Linked DNA regions of Bombyx mori. The protein of the gene in region 2 binds, or shares a complex with, the protein of the main gene of each other region. Links are inferred from orthologs where the notes say so. Each region holds a gene or a part of one and is shown on either strand. Other genes may lie near its edges.

Region 1 (4,455 bases), on a different chromosome or scaffold from region 2:
ACTTTATTTAGTTTAAAAACAAATAAATAATTGTAATCCAATAAAATCGAAATATTAACTTTCTCACTTAATCTTTATTTACCGTAGCAAACATAATTAATCATATTTTAACATTGGCTGTACAGCATCAAAGCTTTCCGAGCGAACGCAATCGATGGGCGGGCGGCTGATGGCGGACGGCAACAAGAAGCCGGCGCGGACGAAGCGGCAGTTAGACTTCGAAGGCGCGGGACTCACGTTCGACTGCCGGTCCGCGCCCGTCGGGGACTACGAGCCCATCCAGCCGGCCAAGATCATGATCAGCAGGAAGACGCTCGCCACGGGACACACGTGGAACGAGACCAACTTTAAAACTCCTATTGATAGGTAGAGTGTTTTTTATTGTCAGGCTTCAGGATACTATTAGTACTTTCTATGTACAAAAAAATCTTAAATATATATATATAAAAAAAGTTATTAAACTTAAATGCAATTCTAAACTAATGACGAATTCGTCGGTAACCATGAAAACTCAAGTTTTCGAAATGTTGGAAATTCTTTAATGATAATATCAAACTGTAATATTTTCCCTTTTGAAGTGAAACTTCCTTATCGGCGTTGGAAAAAAATTTACCGTCACATTTTTCGGTTACGCGTCACATTTTTCCGTTACGCGCCATCTTTTTTGTATTCATGTCTATGATAATAAAATCCTCTTGTTTAAACTTTATCTAATTTAACTTTTTTGTATTCATGTCTATGATAATAAAATCCTTTTGTTTAAACTTTATCTAATTTAACTTTATTTAACCAATTTCTAGAAAGTTGCATGTAGATCATTTTTCGAAAAATAAGGCCATAAAGAAGTTTCACTTCTTACGTGTGTACACTAGTACACGCACACATTTTTTTTATTATATGTTCCTTCTTGTCTTTACCCCTTAGATGTGGTCCCCACAACATGTTTACTCTTCTGTCGAAATCAGAAGTTAGTAATTTCGTAGGACCAATTACAAAAATTTGTATGGAGTTGGAACGTTTCCCTACGTTTGGCGCTAAGGGCGCTGCATACAACTTTGAGTTAACTTTTACGCTATCGAGGACATTAAAAAACTCGCACTAAGCACACAGGTCAGCAGCACCTAAGATAGTTTCGAGTTCTATTTAATCCATTCTTTGCGCAGAGGTCTGGACGAATCGCACTTCTGCAAATTATTTTTACTGCGTAAAGTGACGATGTCGCGGAAACGTGACAACGAACACAGCAAGCCCGAGGAGCCCGTCACGGTCGAGGAGGTGCGCGACTACGATTACAATAATGAAAATGATGCCTCATATTGTCCCAACATACCGCCGGTGAGTACATTCACAATTCTACAATCCTATATTCTCCCAGTCAGTGATGTTAGAAACTCGCAGTTGATGCTGTTTTTCTCAACTAATTACAATAATAATCAACTGGTTGAGGTCGTGCGATACTCATATTAAACAATTTGACCGATAAATCTAATGACATCTATTATTGATATTTTATTGTATGTATAAAATTTGTATTCGTTAAGATTGTTAGTTGTACTTGTTAATATTGTTTACCTAATCTAATCAGTTTTAAAAATAATCAAACATACTACCGTATTCTGTCGTTAAAAAAGTAATATTTGAAAAGCTAATTTTTACTGGTGGTAGGACCTCTTGTGAGTCCGCACGGGTAGGTACCACCGCCCCGCCTATTTCTGCCGTGGAGCAATAATGCGTTTCGGTTTGAAGGGTGGGGCAGCCGTTGTAACTATACTGAGATCTTAGAACTTATATCTCAAGGTGTGTGGCGCATTTACGCTGTAGATGTCTATGGGCTCCAGTAACCACTTAACACCAGGTGGGCTGGGAGCTCGTCCACACATCTATAGAGCAATAAAAAAAAAAGCAATATCACAAACATAACTTAAGTTGTTGTTTTTGGTAGGATGCTGACGAGTGGGGCAACGAGGACGCCACGGCCGCCGGCGACCTGCACGAACAAGTCAAAGCCGTAGAACTCGAAGACATCGGGGACATGCTCGAACCACCAACAAAAGTAAGTTCGATCGTCACATTATTGATCCCGATTGATCTACGACAGTGTACAGGTTTCATTCCCAGTTGGATATGAGTTAGAAGTCTTGTATGTGTTAAGAATATTTGTAACAAAAAAAAATAGTTTCGTCTTGATGTCGTTTTAGATTTACTCATACCCAAGGATAAATATATATAATTATTCTATTCTTCTCTTGTGTGCTTCGTGCGAGTTTTTTAATGTTCTCGATAGCGTGAAAGTTATCTCAAATTTGTATGGAGTTGGAACGTTTGCCGCTAGGGGCGCTGTTCCAACTGCACTAACAACAATACACTAACACAGAATTACAACGAAACATATAATGTTCCGCATCCGTATTCCAACAGGTGGCCAAAATATTCATACCATACGCGATGCGGGCGAAAAAGGTCGACATGAAACAATTGAAAAACTGTACCTGGAAGATGCTCACTGAAAAAACTCCAGAAGGTTCCAAAGACGAGGTCACGGAAACGTCATTCTTTTCGATTTATTCCAGACTTCCGAGCAAACTGACGCCGAATATGAGAGAATCATTAAGTGTACCATTAGCTTTACTCTCAATTTTGCATTTAGCAAACGAAAAAGGATTGATTTTAGAGAAACAAGAAGACCTTAAGGACTTTGGCATAATAGGTTTGATAAAATAATAAAACAACTTGAGGTGAGGTTCTAAAATACATATAAATTTAAGCATATTCCTCACTACCTCCACTGAAAGCATGGCTTGTAGCGAAACTTGTGTTTTGAATACTCTAGTGTTTAGTATCTCAAATATGACCATAAAATATTAGTTAGTCACAAATTTTGATTGTTATTTACATTAATTTTTTAGTGAATTTATTGAAAGAAAAGAAATACCTAAAAGCCATTATTACCTGAACTACAAAACGAATTGTCTTTGACAACATCCATACATAATTCAATAAATTTGATGCGTCATCTGAGAGCTTACCTTATGTCAAAGTTGTGTATTGAAAGTAAAAAAAAATGTTATTGTAATAAATGTCAGTTTCTTGCAGCAACACTATTCCAGTTAATTACATTAGTTTCTAGGGTCGCATTTCCTTACTATCCTACAGATGATTAAATAATGTGCTATTATCAACGTTTCACAATTAGAAATGCAATGGATGTATGTACCGTAATTAAATATTGAATCTTGTAAATAAAGTTTTGACATGTGTCAAAATATATGAAAAAGTTTGTGAAAACATTGTATAGATGTTTTTAGAATAGACTTTATTTTTATATTTAAGTATTGAATAATATTTAGATATGTATGCAAGTACCAAGCTCGTTTTTTATTTTATATTCCCTGGCTTTTATTATTTACTATCAAAAGAGCAGTGAGGTAATCTATACATCAACAGCAAAAAAGGTAGATGGATAAGAAACATCCTTAATTTTTTTTATTGCCCGTGTAGCCAGACAGCCACATGGCCCACCTGATGGTGAGTGGTTACCGTCGCCCATGGACTTCAGCAACGCCAAGGGTAGAGCCAAGGCGCTGCTTACTGTTAAGTACGCTCCACAAGCCTCGTTTGAAGAATGTCATAGCGCTCGGGAAACATCGTGGAGGGGAGCTCATTCCAAAGTCGGATGGTACGTGGCAAAATCTCTGGAAACGCACTGTGTATGAACGCAGTGGCTCCAGGTAGTATGGATGAACTCTACTCCGGTAGCGGGCGGTGCGATGGTAAAAACGAATTGATGGGACCATTTCAACCAATTCCTCAGACCACTCCATGAAACATATGGTACAAAATACAGCGAGAACCGAAGTCCCTCTGCAGAATCAGAGGTTTCAAACGATCCGTGAGATCGGGATTATCGACAATCCGAACAGCCCTCTTCTCTATAGAGTCAAATAGAAGTAGCTGGTATTTGGAAGATCCGGCCCAGAGGTGGGAGCAGTACTTCACGCGAGGCCAGACTTTTGCTTTATAAAGCAAAAGCCTTTCTCTAGGCGCGAAGTACCGTTTCGCTCTGTTCAGGACGCCTAGCATTTTGTACGCCAGCTTGGCTTTGCCGTCCAAATAACTTCGAAATTGGACATCGCTCAAAATGTCGACCCCAAGTATCCCAATACAAGTAAAAGGTTGCAGGGATACTCCTTCGTCTAGCCTAGTAGTATTATTTACTTTTTAGATTTAAATGGCGACTGTGCAAGACATTCGCGCATCGAAACAACGAAAATAAAATTAATCGGATGTGGCACTGTTACAAGCCATACATGTAATTTGATTTTTTTATTGCATGCATGGACGGGTGAATGAACTCACGGCCCACCGGGTGTTACACGATTACCGGAGCCCATAGACATCACTACGTGAGACATGAGGTCTAAATCTCAATTGTATACTAAAACGGCTGTCCCACTC
Region 2 (4,396 bases):
ATAGAACTCTTAAATATTATTGAAATTAGTAACTACCTATATCTAATGTAGTCTCGTTAAATATGTCTTAACTAATACAGGACATAAAGCGCTTATTATTTATTACCTTTTTAAATAATAACCTTAGTTGCTTCGAAGCGCAGACGAGGTATTGACGAAATATTCTATGATATTTCTATGGGTGCGCTAATTTCAACCTTAATCATCTGAAAATAGAGAGTACAAGAATCTCATAATTGTAACACTGTTGCTTACCCAGTATATAATATTGCAGGCATAGCGGAAGGAACGTTACAGGATGACACGATGGTGATGGGTCGCGCCACCACGTCGTTACGTAAGAATTTACTTTTTTTTAAATTAGTCTCTATTGCATAACAGTTTACGGTTCATATTATTATAAAGCTAAAAAAACAAGGATTTTCTCAATTCGGCCGTATTTATATTTGTGTTGCCCCACAGCTTTTGAGTGAATCGTTTTGGATTATTCTTTTTCTATGTGAAAGCTGCCGCTTCTCATGTGGTCCTATTTAAATTTTATCTAGATCTGAGCAGTCGTTTTTGAGTTATCTTTGATAGACCATATTAAATTGATTTCTACATTAATTACACTGTAGATGATGATATTCTTTTTTACTTTGTTCAATTCAGTTTTTTTCTTTGTATTATTCGTCTAATATTGTCTGAAAATAGTGGTTCAATTTGAATACAGCGATAGGGTAGATAAGGCTATTTATTATTAGCACATTCACAAGTATCCATCCACATCGGTACTACGATTTATTATTTAATTGTTAATTTAATGTGGCACTTTTATTTTAAATAATTATCTGCGTATTATGTTTCAAATGCGAAAACATAAAAAACAAAAAGTTCTTAATAGATAAAGAAATTTAAAAAAAAACTAATGTCGAACACTATCGGAAGGATCAGCAAAAATATTAATAGTTAAGTACTGGGCGGTCTTTACGCCTTAACGTAAACATAGCAACATCGCGCTTCAGTGTCGATCATTAATTGCGAATAATTGTAAATAAATAATTACCTTAAACAAAATACCTTTCAGCACAACCGATAGCGCGCAGTACGCACGTGGTCGTCAACGAAACCGTCGAGGAAGAAGACGAAATCGATGAGACGTCTCCAACTGAAATCTTCTGTAAGATACCAGAAGGTGCGTACTGTTACCGGCTTCTTTTTTTTTAAGAAATTTTATGACCTGGTAACTAAGACCTTTAAGTCATATCTTATTTTAATTTATATTATTATTTTTATGAAAAATGATGAAATGAAATGAAGATGATTAATTTGAGATATTAATCAACTGGGATGAAATCAAATGAAATGAGATGAGATGATATGGGATGAAATATAATCTCGGTAAAATGGTGGCAATTTACTGATATTTTTTCAGTGGACTTTTTGGAGGATCCCGAGAAGTTACGTCCAGCGGCTTTGTTTAATTTTCCCACTTTTGTGCACTTTCACAGATATTAAACAGTAAACCACCGTCATTACACATTTAAACCTGAAGAAACACTAAATAGACAAAATAAAACAAATCACACAATTTCACTCCTCGCGTTCCCGCCAAAAAGTCCTATCTGGGCTTCAGTACCGTAGATATGCAGACCCTATCGTATTCCTGCTGCATCAGCTTTATCATATCTTTATCTACACCATACCTCATTGCCATTCCCGCTCCACTCAATCAGTTCGTCTCCATCCTTCGTCGCGTTCGCGCCTATCACTGTATCCATACAATACTAAATCTTTTATATTTCATTATTATTGAATAAGTTTTAATTAAATCCAGTGTAAATTTTTTTTTTTTTTTTTTACAAAGTGATTTATAGAATCCCGTATAACGTACGATGCTTTGTAATAAAAAAATTTACATTTATTAGATTTATATCGTATTTTTTAATAGTATATATTCACGATAGTGATTTTCTATAGTTCCCTTTGAATTAAAAAGCAAACTCTATGTTTGACGATTTACGAATAACCACTTTAATTTATGAATGGATCTTGTCGCGTATTATGTAGTCCCGCCTTAACTCGACTAAATTATAGTTATTATTTAAATATATTCGTCGATGTATAGCATACCATACTCTATACCTAAATTGTTTACAGAAAAATCACAAACCGAAGAGAGTAATACAAAGTCTAGTAGACAGTCTACCGAATCAGAATCTGTTCCAATACGAGATACCAAAGATATATTGTCGGATTCTAGCAGCGGAGTATCTCCGGTGAAGAAAGCTAAAATATCAAAAGGTGTTTATTTATAATTAATATTCTTATTTCGTTAATTAAATATCTAGTATAAAGTAATAGTACTTCTGAAAATTATATGCTGATTAATTATTTTGAACTGCCATTATGAAGCATATGGCCCATTTTATAGTAAATACAAAATGTCTAATATTGGTGTTGCCTTCTTTTATTCCAATTGCCTATTGGTCAATAAATCTCTCAAGCGCCTTATAAAACAGTAAAATTATCTGTATATTTAAGAATGTTTTCAGACCGACATAAAAAAAATGTTTACAATGATTATACATTTATACATATATGTATTTGCCTTTTGTAACATTTTCGTAAAGTATAAATCAAATTAAATGCAAATAAACGTTTTACAGTACCAAAAAAGAAGATGCCGGCGAAGAAATCGTCTACCATTGAAACGGCCAATAAAGCGAAAGTCACAGAAACCACTAAAAAGTCGAAACAGAAAACTGAAGAAACTGAAAAGGGTGTCAAACGAAGTCGATCGCAGCGATCCCTGGTGGACGTCGATAGAGGTGAGATACCGTTACCGAAATATGCTTGTGTTTTATCCATTCACGCATCTGATTATGTTGCAAACACTACTGTTTGGCGGTCTCGCTAGTGAAATAGTTAGCGCGCCTGACCGAGGATTGATTTTATAAGTATCCTGATTGATTTATTACGCATTATTACGCATCCTCCCGATCCATTAACGGTGCTTATAGGTACCTCAAGCACCGGTCACCGTCCTAGGCGAACCCGTCGCTTGCGACGAAGGGCTCGAAGACTAATTTAGCCCATAGACACAGCCCGCAGAGTTCCTCGCCGGATCTTCTCAGTGGGTCGCTTTTCCTATCCGGTGGTAGATTCTGCGAAGCACTGTTGTTGCTAGAGCCAGTGTTAGCAACACTCCCGGTTTGAGCCCCGTGAGCTCACCTACACACGTTAGGGCGAAGGTGAAATAGCCTCTCAAGGAGAAAAAAGAAAAACAATGGTATCGGGAATCCTAGTTTGAAGCCAGATAAATAGCCTGTAAATTGCCGTCAACTTTTTATTTATTAGTATTTAGTAGTTTAAATTAAACAATCACATTAACCGAAAAATTTTCAGTTTCATCCAAAGCTCAAAAAAACAAAGAGTCTAAAACAAAGATGGCCTCTCCGCCGCCGAGCGTGCCCGCTGAGCTGGACGTGTCGAACGTGACTGTGCGGCGCTCCGCCCGCGCCGCGCACTCCTCCTCCAGCCGCGAGTCGACCGTATCGAATGGGACTCAACGAAAAAATAAAAAAGGTACAATTCAATAAATAAATCGACTGTCCCCCTGCATTATCGATGACCATGAGCGACAGTAACCACTCACCATCAGGTAGTGTACTCACCGTATGACCGTCTGCAAACAAGGCAACAACAAAAATTGAGAGGTGTCAAAGGACACGGGAATGAAGTTCCTTTCGATTAATTAGTGAAGGAATTGTAATATTATTATTTTTTAAGTTATAATAATATTATGTTTTTTATTATTAACAAATATAATGTAATATAAACTTAATCTATATTACTATCAAAAAATTTAAGCATTTATTATCTGTATAAACTCTAATGAACTAACTAATGAACAATATTTTTTTTTAATTAATATGTCACTTCATAATTTAAAAAAAACTTTAAATATTTTCCAGGAGAAGTCAGAACAGGAACACGTTCGTCGGGGCGCAGTAGTACGGCGAGCAGCTCGCGTGACTCTCTCCAAGACTCGTTCGACGATACCACACTCCACACTATTGTTTACGACAAGGAAATGGTCAGAAGACTTTTTAATACGCTTTTATTAGCTTCAGACGTATGTATGTAACGGAATCTTTGAACGTGATTTTGACCCCCTTCAAAACGTCGGATTAACTCGAAATTTGGTATACTTATTAAGGACCGATGACATTTCAATATTTAAAAAAAATTAAAAAAAATTCAAATTCAACTAAAAAATGAAAAATAAATAATACTTTGAAAAAACTAACAAAATACGCTTTTATAGAAAGTTTATAGAAAATAGACTTTTTTTTTCTTACACTATTTTTAAAACAAATTTATTAAAATTTATTATCAATTTTTTAGTTGAATA
Region 3 (5,797 bases), on a different chromosome or scaffold from region 2:
TGGTTACTGGAGCCCATCTACAAATGCACCACCCACCTTGAGATATAAGTTCTAAGGTCTCAGTATAGTTACAGCGGCTGCGACACCCTTCAAACCGAAACGCATTACTGCTTCATGGTAGAAATTGGCAGGGCGGTAGTACCTACCCGTGTGGACTCACAAGAGGTCCTACCACCAGTAAATTGTTCCCTTCACGTATTTACAAGTGTACAAGACACTTCAATAGATTATTATATATAATAATTGGTACCAAAAGTATTAAAACCACTAATATGAAAGTATGTAGAACCAATATTCTGGGTCTAGAAACATTTTTGTTCACTCTTGTTTTATATCCAAGAGTGGTGTTCTGAGAAATTAATAGAGATGATCACATCATTTCTATCCTACCTTGTAATAACTCACCAAATTGATTCATTATTCAACCCTGGAGTGACCTTTTATGTTGTTTCCTGAGTACTACATTTTACATACTGACATGCTTCTTTAAACATGTTTATTGATTAATAGTAATAGTGCCTACGCTCTGGACCAACAAGAAACTGAATTTAGATTCAATAATATTGATGATAATTATTAATTTAACAAGAGATTTAGCTTTCGAATACTCTACTAATAAGATGATACCTTATATCTTGAAGTGCCTATGATATCTTCCAAGTACTCCAGCATTCCTGACTCATGCTCTGTTAGTGCTTTAGGTTTCATCATAGCTATCTGTTCGACTTCACCCTGAAAGTAAAAGTCTAGTTAGGAATGTATTTGAAAGCATCCTTATGAAGTTCTATTTAGTTATTAAAGATGTCTTAATGTGCAGCTTGTGGGCTGGATATACTCAAAGATCGTACAACGCTCTCCGTGTTCAATATAATAACGCGTTTAGGGTGCTGGTGGTGCTGCCCCGCTTTTGTAGCGCATCAGGGATGTTTGCAGACGCGCACATAGATTGTTTTTACGCTACCATGCGTAAGAGGTGTGCATCTCTGGTAAGCAGAGTGAGGGCCAGCTCCAACAGTATCCTGAGCATGATCGCAAGCAGGCTGGACTGTGTATACATGGGTCGCTGTGGTGCCATCTCCCATGGGATGTTACGACAGTAATTCATTATGATGTAAATATAACTACTAACATAGGTCTAAGTCTTATTAAAAATTTATATGAGTCATGGTTACTTGCAATAAAAACAATATTATTATATTATTATTAATGTTGAACCATTAAAATTTTTCTATAAAAATGCTGATAAAGATTTCAAGTTGTAAGAGGGCATATACCTGTATACCCTGATCAGTGGAGAAATTGAGGCAATGATTTTGTATCTCAAAAGTCAACATAATCTCAATAACAAAACAATCTAACAAGCAATTGAATGGGATCTGTTGATTAAGATTACCACTCAAACACAATATCAATAATTTAGATGGTTTTTTTAATAGTACATAATCTATGATTTGCATTTAGTGTCTTTTGACCACATATAAAGTTGGATTCAAATAAGATTGACATGATGCCCTTTTGTATTGAAATTATGGTACGGTTACTCTTTAACTAATATACAAGATCGATTCGTGGGACCATATACTAAACACAGGCAAATAACACTTATTATACTACTTAAAAAATGTACTTGCTTGCAATATCAAGAATCTATTGTGATCCAAATCAATGTTGTGGGAACGCAGCATCTTGGCAACTTCTTTGAATTGTACTCTGCGTCCGTTCAACATATAATAAGACGAGTTATCTTTGAAAGCTGTCCGTGAGACCACAATCTCACTGTTTGGTACAACTTTAAAGTCATCTCCTTCCTGTAAAAGAGTGTTTGATATTTTAGTTAGAAAGCCAGTTGCCAGTTCTTGTGATTTTTTTGTGAATAAGTATTTTGTTCCTAATGTTTGTATTATACAGCGCAAAAAAATCCACTTATGCATTCAGTAGATACACTTAAATACGGTACAACAATACATGTAGTAGGTGCCATTACTGGTTGTGAGTTTTTAAACATAGTTATATATATTCAATGATAGGATTACAGAATATCAGGCACAATAACTTGGCACACTGAGATTCACAGTTAGAAGTCAACATCCTTGAGTGGCTGATTCTTTTTCTATAATAGTGGTCAAAAGAATGAGAAGTATTTCATTGGATACAAAAAAGTAACTCTCTCATGTTTCAGAGCTCACCATTTTCATTTATATTATATAGTTCAGTGGCTAGTTTTTTTTAATGTATAAATTCATTCATTTTTAGTTATACCAGAACTTTAAGATTTCTATTATTATTTATATTTTGTAACTTCAGCTCACGCCAAGTTTGGTGTGTACATAATACATACCCCATCAATAATCTGACAGAAATGTACAGAGACATTTGCACTACTAATATTAGGAAATTTACTGGATGAATGTATCAATACTGAAATCTTCTTAGAACGTATTTTTGATGCTCTATATCCAAATACAAACAGCATTGAGTCAATCACATTGCTTTTTCCACTACCATTCGGACCAATGATTGATGTAAAACACTGTAATAAAATGTTAATACTTATTAGATCTGCAAGGTTTATATACACATAAGCTCAATGTAGGTTTCCATTGTATATATTTAAGGCAAAATAATGCAAATAGAAGTAAAGAGTATTGTATAAGCATGTAATTAATTGTTGAGAAAGATAAAGAGCTCGTCTTACAATTCTGTTCACACCAGTACTCAAATTTGGAAATCAAGGAAATGCTGTGTAAAAGTAATAAAAATAGGCAAGTCAGTAGATACCTAGATACTAATAAACTACTATTGCAAAGATCTATTCAACACATTGTGTAGGCAATGCTTACTAATGCATCCTTACTAGGTAGCATACAGAAATTTAGAATGCTTTTGAACAGTTGCTACATGTGAAAATATCATTTATATAATAAGCAGCAGAAGGTAATCCATAAGTGTAATTAAAACTATTTTTATAGTATGGCCATGGACCAATAAACCACAAAATTCAAGCATTCCAAGCATAAAATAATTTTATATTTGGAATCACTTAGATTGGAGAGCACTAGACGATTTATAAATGCATTTAAAGGTGAGAATAAAATGAAGCATGTTCGTAACAATCTATTATTTGATTCTTAACAATACATGCAAATACATTAACAAAACTTAATCTAATAGGATATTGAATCTAATATCTAATGAAAAATATCTAATATAATAAAATATATAATAAATATACCTATATGTAATGAAAAATTGTTTTTGAAATATAATAAAAAAAAATTAATCTAAAGTTAAATTACCTACTAAAAATTCGTATAGATATTGGGTATTTTTACCTTATGAAATGGACCCAAAGCTTGTACGCCAGCGTAACTCTTGAAATTTTCATTAACGATATGAGTAATGATGAGCCGAGGGCCCGTTGTATCAAAAGTTAATGCTGGTTTTGGAGCTGGAGGTATATAGATATCCCCAATGCGTATTCCACCTTCCTCATCATCAGAAATGTGATCGAAGTCTTCAGTTTCCTCAACATTCGCTTTCTGAATTGCAGAACTAGTAGACGGACCCTCGTCGACATCCATTGGTTCATCTATCATTTTCGTTTTCCCCATCTTATTTATTTTTGTGAAGACAAAAAAGATATGTATCTTCACTAAAAGTTTTATTGCAATCTAAATTTTATTTAGATTCACCAGACCACGGTATAACTTTCCATCATTTTGTGCTTTTTTAAATGTTTTCTTGCAAGCTATAATTTTAAATATTGTACAAGTTACAACGACAATCATAGATTCTATTATCATAGATTATACACTTAGGCTTCAATCTCAAATATTAAGTATCATCATCTATGTATCAAATACTCGTGTGTACTAGTTATTAATCTATGCAAAAAACCTATATAAACAATCGAACTAAATGTAGACAACTATGCCACTTCGATAAAGCGGCACGACACGAGAACCCTCTGATCGTGGCCGCCGGTAACTACATTCCCGATCCTGCGGACAGAATGGAAAGCAGTCGACGTCGCCCAAAACACGTCATCTCGGATCCTCCTGATCCACTAACGGTGCTTTTAGGTACTTCAAGCACCGGTCACCGTTCTCGTCGAACCCGTAGCTTGCGACGAAGGGCTCGACGAGTAAATTAACTCTCAGACACAGCCCACTGAGTTTCTCGCCGGATCTTCTCAGTGGGTCGCGTTTCCGATCCGGTGGTAGATTCTGCGAAGCACGGCTCTTGCTAGGGTTCGTGTTAGCAACATCGTCAGGTTTGAGCCCCGTGAGCTCACCTACTAAAGTTAGGGTTACGCTGACATAGCCGCTAGGGCTATCAGCTTAGGTAGGAAAAAAAAAAAAAAAAAGTAGACAATGCAGCCCACTGAGTTTCTCGCCGGATCTTCTCAGTGGGTTGCGTTTCCGATCCGGTGGTAGATTCTGCGAAGCATGGCTCTTGCTAGGGTTCGTGTAAGCAACGTCGTCAGGTTTGTGCCCCATGAGCTCACCTTCTAGTTAAGGTTACGCTGGAATAGCCTCTCAAGGCTATCAGCTTAGGTAGAAAAAAAAAAGTAGACAATAAAATAGGCTCACTGAAATTGGCCTCCTTTTTTTGATTTTCGGTTTTATTTTTATTTTTAATGATTTGTTCGTCGTTTGTTCGTTAATGTTTGAATGTAAAAATTGTTAGTTCGTCTTTTATTTATTTATAATTGAGTAAACAAATGATTACCCTTAAGTTGGCTCCCCTTACTAGAAGATATCTTTATTTTTATCGCTCAGATCAATTAATTTTAATCAATTATCGTTAGTTCAACGAATATTGGTGATTGTTCGATCTTAAAAACAATTGAATTCCTAATTATTAATTATTTTATATCTAATAAGCAAACCATCACCTCACGCCTACATTGCGCATGCGCCGGTTTTGTCAGTCAGTTGGCAATGGGCGTATTTTCTAGCGTTTTGTTAACAAGTGCGTTTATACTGTCTAATTATTCCTTATGCAGACCAAAAAAATATTCAAAACTTCAACAAAAAATATCGGGGATTTTTTTTTTTTTATTGCTTAGATGTGTGGACGAGCTCACAGCCCACCTGGTGTTAAATGGTTACTGGAGCCCATAGACATCTACAATGTAAATGCGCCACACACCTTGAAAAATACGGCCAATTATTCCTTTTTTTTTTCCTACTTAAGCTGATAGCCCTAGGGGCTATTTCAGCGTAACCCTAACTTTAGTAGGTGAGCTCACGGGGCTCAAACCTGATGACGTTGCTAACACGAACCCTAGCAAGGGCCGTGCTTCGCAGAATCTACCACCGGATCGGAAACGCGACCCACTGAGAAGATCCGGCGAGAAACTCAGTGGGCTCTGTCTGAGAGTTAATTTACTCGTCGAGCCCTTCGTCGCAAGCGACGGGTTCGACGAGAACGGTGACCGGTGCTTGAAGTACGTAAAAGCACCGTTAGTGGATCGGGAGGATCCGAGATGACGTGTTTTGGGCGACGTCGACTGCTTTCCATTCTGTCCGCAGGATCGGGAATGTAATTATTCCTAAATTCATTACGTAGTTCAAAAAATGAAAATTTAATGCACACAAAATCTGTTTTTATTGAAATGATAATTATTTAGAAGTTCAAGAAATATATTGCAGGAACATTTAGTAGAAATTCATTTCATATGGAAGAATAAACTTAGTATACATATACCCTATAAACAGGATTTTATTTTAAAAAATATTTTATTTATAAAAAATATTTATTTACGTCTATATTATCGTAATTATTACTATCG
Region 4 (5,995 bases), on a different chromosome or scaffold from region 2:
ACATACAGATCAAGGGACCCTCCAAAAGTGGCGCGTCGATAGCGCGTCGCGAGATGGGGTACTGAAATAAATATAAAAGGATGGCCATTTATAGGCAAAAACAGTTCTCAGTGGATCTTCGACATAGAAACATCAGCAAGACAGAAACAGTTCTCAGCAGATCATCAAGACAGAAACAGTTCTCAGCGAATCTCCGACATAGAAACATCAAGACAGAAACAGTTCCCAGTGAATCTTCGACAAAGAACCATCAGCAAGACAGAAACAGTTACCAGCAGTTCTCCAATAGTACAGTTATCAGAAAACCACCAGTGAATCAGCTACCAGTGAACCAGACAGTTACCTGTGAAACCTCGCTACAGAAGCCGAAACCCATCGAAAGAAACAGCCGTCTTCTACCAGCGCACAAACAGACAGCAGAAAATATTATTACACGACTCGGAAACAGCCATACAGACCGGGTCGTGTACAGTCATGAACTTATTAAGTCGGAGCACGTGGTCGAACTCGACTGTGGACGACGGGGGTGCCATACCACCGAACATCCTCCGGTGTGATAGCTCCCTGCCGGAGATCTGCTTCACACAGTATGCAGTCAGGCGGGAGCTCCGACTCCTGGACGTCTATAAGTCGAGTGGGCCAGACTGCATCCTCGCAGTGGTTCTGAAAACGTGCGCCCCTGAGTTGACACCTGCGCTAACGCATTTGTATCGCCTCTCTTATTGTATCCGTCTTCATGGAAGACCCCTTCACGTCCACCCTATCCCCAAGAAGGGCGACTGGTCGGAGCCATCGAGCTATAGGCCTACCGCGATAAGTTCCTTACTTTCCAAGGTGATGGAGCGAATAAAAAATGCACAACTCCTGAAGTATATGATTTTCATCCTGTATATCAATGTCAATGACATGATGTCTATTGATGATATGCATTGCTATGCGGATGACAGTAAGGGGGATGCGCGATATATCGGCCATCAGAGTCTCTCACGGAGCGTGGTGCAAGAGAGACGATCAAAACTTGTGTCTGAAGTGGAGAACTCTCCGAAGCTAATCTCCGAATGGGGCGAATTGAACTTCGCTCAATTCAATCCATTGAAGACATAAGTTTGCGCGTTAACTACGAAGAAGGACCCCTTTGTTATGGCGCCAAATCCAAGGAGTATCCCTGCAACCTTCCGAGAATACCTGGATACTTGGGGTCTGTCCAATTTTGGAGTCATTTGGAAGGCAAAGCCAAGTTGGCGTCCAAGATGCTGGAAGTCCTCAACAGAGCAAAGCAGTACTTCACGCCTGGACAAAGCCTTTTCATCTCTGGGCTAGGGTTACCAAATACGAGCTACTTCGATTTCACTCTATATAGAAAAGGGCCGCTCGGATTGTCGATAATCCCGGATCTCACGGATCATTTGGAACCTCTGGGTCTGCGGAAGGACTTCGCTTTTCTCTGTATTTTGTACCGTATGTTCCATGGGGAGTGCTATGAGGAATTCTTTGAGATGATTCCATCATCTCACTTTTACCATCGCACCGCCTGCCATCGGAGAAGAGTTCATCCTCGCTGGGTATCTTATTCTGTTTGAGATATAGAAGCACTATTTCTTGATATCGATGCTATATGATAACAGCTTTATTAAAGACACTATTGACTACATTCTAGCTCACGCTCGTGCAAAAATCAGCCACTGTCATTTACATCGACAAGTCCTAGTAGATCCATCCGCCCTGCTTTCGATTTGTTGGACATTAGTTCTAATGCTATACGATTACGCTATAATGATACTAGTTCATCGGGCGTTTTATTCTTTGGGCTACAACTTATAAAAGGGTGAGATTTAATGTCTGAGTTTGTAGACTTTTTGGAAGTTGTCAAGTCCACGTCCACGGCCGAAGCCACGGCCTATGATTTTTTTTGCGCTTATGAACTTTCACTACATGGTTAAAATACTTCATTTTCTGTACTTACTACAATTTATTTTAGTTCGAATCAGAATCTATTACATTTGAATCTGAGATGTTATCTATCTTCTTCTTCTATATATATAAAAATGAATTGCTGTTCGTTAGTCTCGCTAAAACTCGAGAACGGCTGCACCGATTTGGCTAATTTTGGTCTTGAATTATTTGTGGAAGTCCAATGAAGGTTTAAAAGGATAGATAAATATGAAAATGCTCGGAATTAAATAAAAATAACAATTTTGTTTTTCCTTTGATGTCCCCCCCGCCGCGCGCCGGACGGATTCCTTTTGTTTGTTTTAAATTTATTTTCTTCAAAGGTTTAAGTCTTTTATTTATTGATAGAGGCACTACGAAGTCTTCCGGGTCAGCTAGTATGCAATAAAGAAAAGAAAAAGAATCGGTACACTTATAATTTTTTACCTCTTTACCATATTGTTAATCTAAATCGAATTAAAATCTTTAAAAAAAATGTTGTCGAGAAAAATATAATGTGTCAATGTCATTAATCAATGAATGTCAAAAATATTTTAAAAACACAAATCAATTTTGATTTCATAAAAAAATCAACGGCTTCTCTAACGCTTGATGAATTCGTATGAGTTTAAATTTTTAATGAATTTTCTTGTTCTATAACTGTTGTTTTTATGATCTGAACATGTTTATTAAGTCAATAGTGTTAGATGGCTTCAAGTCTTACGGAAACCGAGTGGAAATTACTGGATTTGATCCAGAATTTAATGCGATCACTGGTCTAAATGGGACTGGAAAATCAAATATCTTAGATTCTATATGTTTCGTACTTGGAATCACAAATTTATCGAATGTATGTTGTAGTTTATTATTGCTAACAAAATAACAACTGTTGCTGATTTATTTCCCGCCAAATACCATTCACTGTTAAGGGTTATGGCGATATAGTAGCAGCGTTTATTCATGATAATATTCAATTACCTATCAAATATGCGACATAAATCCTATGGGCATCAGAATACATGATGACTTGAAAATAAAAACATACACTTTTCAAGTTCTAGTACAACAATAATATCGATTGATGCGAAGTAAACTCGACAATGATGTTTTCTGCTTCTTTCTGGGTACAATTATAAATAATATGAATATTCCAACAATAAAACATAGTTGCTTCTTGGTCAAAATGCTTGTTTAACAAAATTTGTGCCTAAATTATTAATTAATTTATTATAAAAAAATAGGTACGAGCAAGCAGCTTGCAGGAGCTTATTTACAAGCATGGGCAGGCAGGTATCACCAAAGCAACAGTTAGCATTACCTTCGACAACAGAGATAAGAGACAATGTCCGATTGGCTATGAGAATCATGATGAGATTACTGTCACTAGACAGGTAAGACATAGTTATATTGGAATAGTAATTAGTAATCAACAAAACATCTAGAAATTGAATAACCATTTGCTAAGTTTCCAGGTTCATGAAGCTTCCATTAAATTACTTTATTAAAAAGTTCCAAGAATACAATAGTTCCAAGAATATATACATGATTAATAAATCAATATTCAAATGTTTGAGATGACATGATTTAATACATCATTTACAAATCATTCGATCAAGTAGCTTGACTTTTACTATTAGCAAACCAAGCTAAATTTCATAAGCTTTGCTGAACAAAACAAGAAATAACGTATAGCATTCAAAAGTTATATTTCCTCATCCAAATTTGCTTAATCAAACTAATATAAAGAACATGCTATTTAACAATTATTGAAACAATTTGAAAAATAAATTTCAGGTGGTGATGGGTGGTAAGAATAAATACCTTATAAATGGTATCAATGTCCAAAACAAGAGGGTCAGTGACTTATTCTGTTCGGTTCAGCTTAATGTCAATAACCCACACTTCCTCATCATGCAGGGAAGGATTACTAAGGTGCTAAATATGAAACCTCCTGAGGTAAGCCATACATCAGCTTCAGCAGTTAAATTACTTGTATGACCTTAGTAAATAGTGTTACGAACTGAAGTTCTGGATAAAATAATTATTTCTTACTAGCTGACCAGGCAGACTTCGCAGTGCCAAGACCTAAACTTTTGTATAAAATAAACTTAAAACAAACACAAGGAATCCGTCCGACGGGGGATACATCAAAGGAAAAACAAAATTGTTATTCTTATTGAATTCCGAGAATTTTCATATTTATCTACCTTTTAAAGCTTCTCTGGACTTCCACAAATAATTCAAAACCAAAATTAGCCAAATCGGTCCAGCCGTTCTCGAGTTTTAGTGAGACTAACAACCAGCAATTCATTTTTATATATATAGATAATCAAAAACATATATAGATTATGAATCAAAATCATCAAGTCTAATTACAAAATACTTTGATTAGTACTTTGATAAGTATAGTGACTGATTTCACTATTATGATGCATTAGATTGCATTCAAATCTTGTCTTGGATATGACTTCACTTTAAGTCGTATGATTTTTCTCACTCCTCTGAATGAAATTTAATCTTTCTAAAAGCGTGTGCACTGTAATTTCTAGTAAGGTCTTAATTGCTTTGTGATTTTTTTCTTTCTCTGTACTGTGTGGCATTAGTTGTATTGTATGTTTGAGCTATTTGTGATGATTAAAATATAGGTAGAGACATACAGCCTTAGTAATAAATGTGGTGTAATATCCTTATGCTTCCCAATTCGTGCCATCGTAGGACAGAAAATATTTGACAAATTTTGAAATCACACTAATGGCATTTTCAAAAGAAGCTTTGCATGTGTTAAGCCAGTTACAAACAATATTTGGACTTTTGGTGTATGGAACAAAATTATCTGCTTGGTGGAAGATGTTTCTTATATTGTTTTCCCTCAAACACTTACTAGCCACAATATCAGTAAACTTGAGATCTTGTCTTCTGATATGGAAGATTTCCATTTAACCTTGCTCTGTGGCTGCTGCCCAGCCATTGTTGGCCCTAAGATAAAAAAAAAGCTGTGAGCACAAGAGTTTTATATCCACAAGACAATGTTGATGCTACCACTCTCCCTGAGAACTGAAGTTGAGCTGGCAGTACAACATCCCATGAGCTCGTATAGGTATGTATCACCACTCTGCCTATTTTTGCCTTGAAGCAGTAATGTGTTTCGTTTTTCAAGGGTGGGGCAGTAATTGCACACTGAGGCTTGGATGCCTTTTCCCACGGTGGGTGGCGGGGCTCCCGTATCCACTTAAAGTCAGATGGGCTGTGAGCTCAATGACCTATCTAAGTAATAAAAAAAGGCAAAAAACCTGTGCTGTAATTGTGTTTGACATCCTTGTGAATAAATGAAATGTAACTAATTTAGCTGATCTAATGATTACAAATTTCTTCTAATAATTATAAAATACAATAAACAATAAAAAGGCCATAAGAACATGAACATGGTAAATTGGCACTAGAGACATTCATGTTTAGCATTGGCATCCAATAACCACATTGCACTGAAGGCTAAAATATATACAGCTACAATACCACTTTTTTGTTAGATATTATCAATGGTAGAGGAAGCGGCAGGTACAAGAATGTATGAAGCTAAAAAACAAGCAGCACAGAAAACTATTGAGAAGAAAGATGCAAAGCTCCGGGAACTTAATGATGTAAGTCAATTGTACAATTTTACTGTCACTGCACACTGTACAAATGTCGATTCGTTTTAAAGCATAATATGACACAAATAAAACTATTTTATCACTTCATCAAATTAGTAGATTTCTAGGACTACTTAGGTGGACTTTCAGAACTGCCAATACTTTTTTGAATAAAATAATGATTTTGTAGAAGGGATCACAATTAATCAGATGTAAATTTTTTTGAACTGAACTAAAACTTCTCAGAAAATACATTAAAAGAACTGTTGTGGCAAAATTGTTTCTGTTCAAAATAGATAATAAGAGAAGACATAGCACCTAAACTTCAGAAGCTGCAAGATGAAAGATCTCAGTTCCAAGAATATCAGAAGGTTGTCAGAGAATTGGAGAATATCACCAGGCTGTGTGTCGCTTGGAAGTGAGTATGGTCATTGCCT

The links.
Region 1: the proteins of condensin complex subunit 3 (region 2) and condensin complex subunit 2 are in contact, whole or in part, in a crystal structure (PDB 6IGX), measured with the Homo sapiens proteins. The link is inferred for Bombyx mori from reciprocal best matches to the Homo sapiens genes NCAPG and NCAPH. Residues at the interface, in NP_071741.2 of Homo sapiens: Lys11, Phe14, Arg15, Gln18, His50, Tyr51, Lys53, Tyr54, Val55, Met56, Val57, Glu62, Ala64, Val65, Val68, Phe102, Ser106, Glu108, Ala109, Asn110, Ser111, Val114, Arg115, Ile149, Arg150, Lys152, Asp153, Lys154, Arg159, Glu188; in NP_056156.2 of Homo sapiens: Glu471, Ile472, Asp473, Phe474, Glu475, Asp476, Asp477, Ile478, Phe480, Val482, Tyr483, Phe484, Arg485, Lys486, Thr487, Ala489, Ala490, Thr491, Ile492, Leu493, Gln501, Asn502, Trp503, Ala505, Thr506, Thr507, Leu508, Phe512, Tyr514, Val516.
Region 3: condensin complex subunit 3 (region 2) and structural maintenance of chromosomes protein 4 share a complex: the UniProt entries of both Homo sapiens proteins name them as parts of the condensin complex. The link is inferred for Bombyx mori from reciprocal best matches to the Homo sapiens genes NCAPG and SMC4.
Region 4: condensin complex subunit 3 (region 2) and structural maintenance of chromosomes protein 2 share a complex: the UniProt entries of both Homo sapiens proteins name them as parts of the condensin complex. The link is inferred for Bombyx mori from reciprocal best matches to the Homo sapiens genes NCAPG and SMC2.

The regions. Positions count from the first base shown.
Region 1 is NC_085117.1:9,011,483-9,015,937, reverse strand, and holds the end of condensin complex subunit 2, read left to right. Parts: intron 1-125; coding exon 126-366; intron 367-1,163; coding exon 1,164-1,335; intron 1,336-1,942; coding exon 1,943-2,053; intron 2,054-2,418; coding exon 2,419-2,721; 3' UTR 2,722-3,366; downstream 3,367-4,455. UniProt on the Homo sapiens protein: Regulatory subunit of the condensin complex, a complex required for conversion of interphase chromatin into mitotic-like condense chromosomes.
Region 2 is NC_085122.1:6,203,850-6,208,245, reverse strand, and holds part of condensin complex subunit 3, read left to right. Parts: intron 1-274; coding exon 275-337; intron 338-1,066; coding exon 1,067-1,174; intron 1,175-2,139; coding exon 2,140-2,283; intron 2,284-2,648; coding exon 2,649-2,810; intron 2,811-3,387; coding exon 3,388-3,567; intron 3,568-3,956; coding exon 3,957-4,078; intron 4,079-4,396. UniProt on the Homo sapiens protein: Regulatory subunit of the condensin complex, a complex required for conversion of interphase chromatin into mitotic-like condense chromosomes.
Region 3 is NC_085134.1:4,010,662-4,016,458, reverse strand, and holds the start of structural maintenance of chromosomes protein 4, read right to left. Parts: upstream 3,828-5,797; 5' UTR 3,612-3,827; coding exon 3,333-3,611; intron 2,531-3,332; coding exon 2,339-2,530; intron 1,809-2,338; coding exon 1,632-1,808; intron 733-1,631; coding exon 628-732; intron 1-627. UniProt on the Homo sapiens protein: Central component of the condensin complex, a complex required for conversion of interphase chromatin into mitotic-like condense chromosomes.
Region 4 is NC_085131.1:14,294,250-14,300,244, reverse strand, and holds the start of structural maintenance of chromosomes protein 2, read left to right. Parts: upstream 1-2,469; 5' UTR 2,470-2,611; coding exon 2,612-2,779; intron 2,780-3,170; coding exon 3,171-3,320; intron 3,321-3,723; coding exon 3,724-3,885; intron 3,886-5,456; coding exon 5,457-5,567; intron 5,568-5,854; coding exon 5,855-5,976; intron 5,977-5,995. UniProt on the Homo sapiens protein: Central component of the condensin complex, a complex required for conversion of interphase chromatin into mitotic-like condense chromosomes.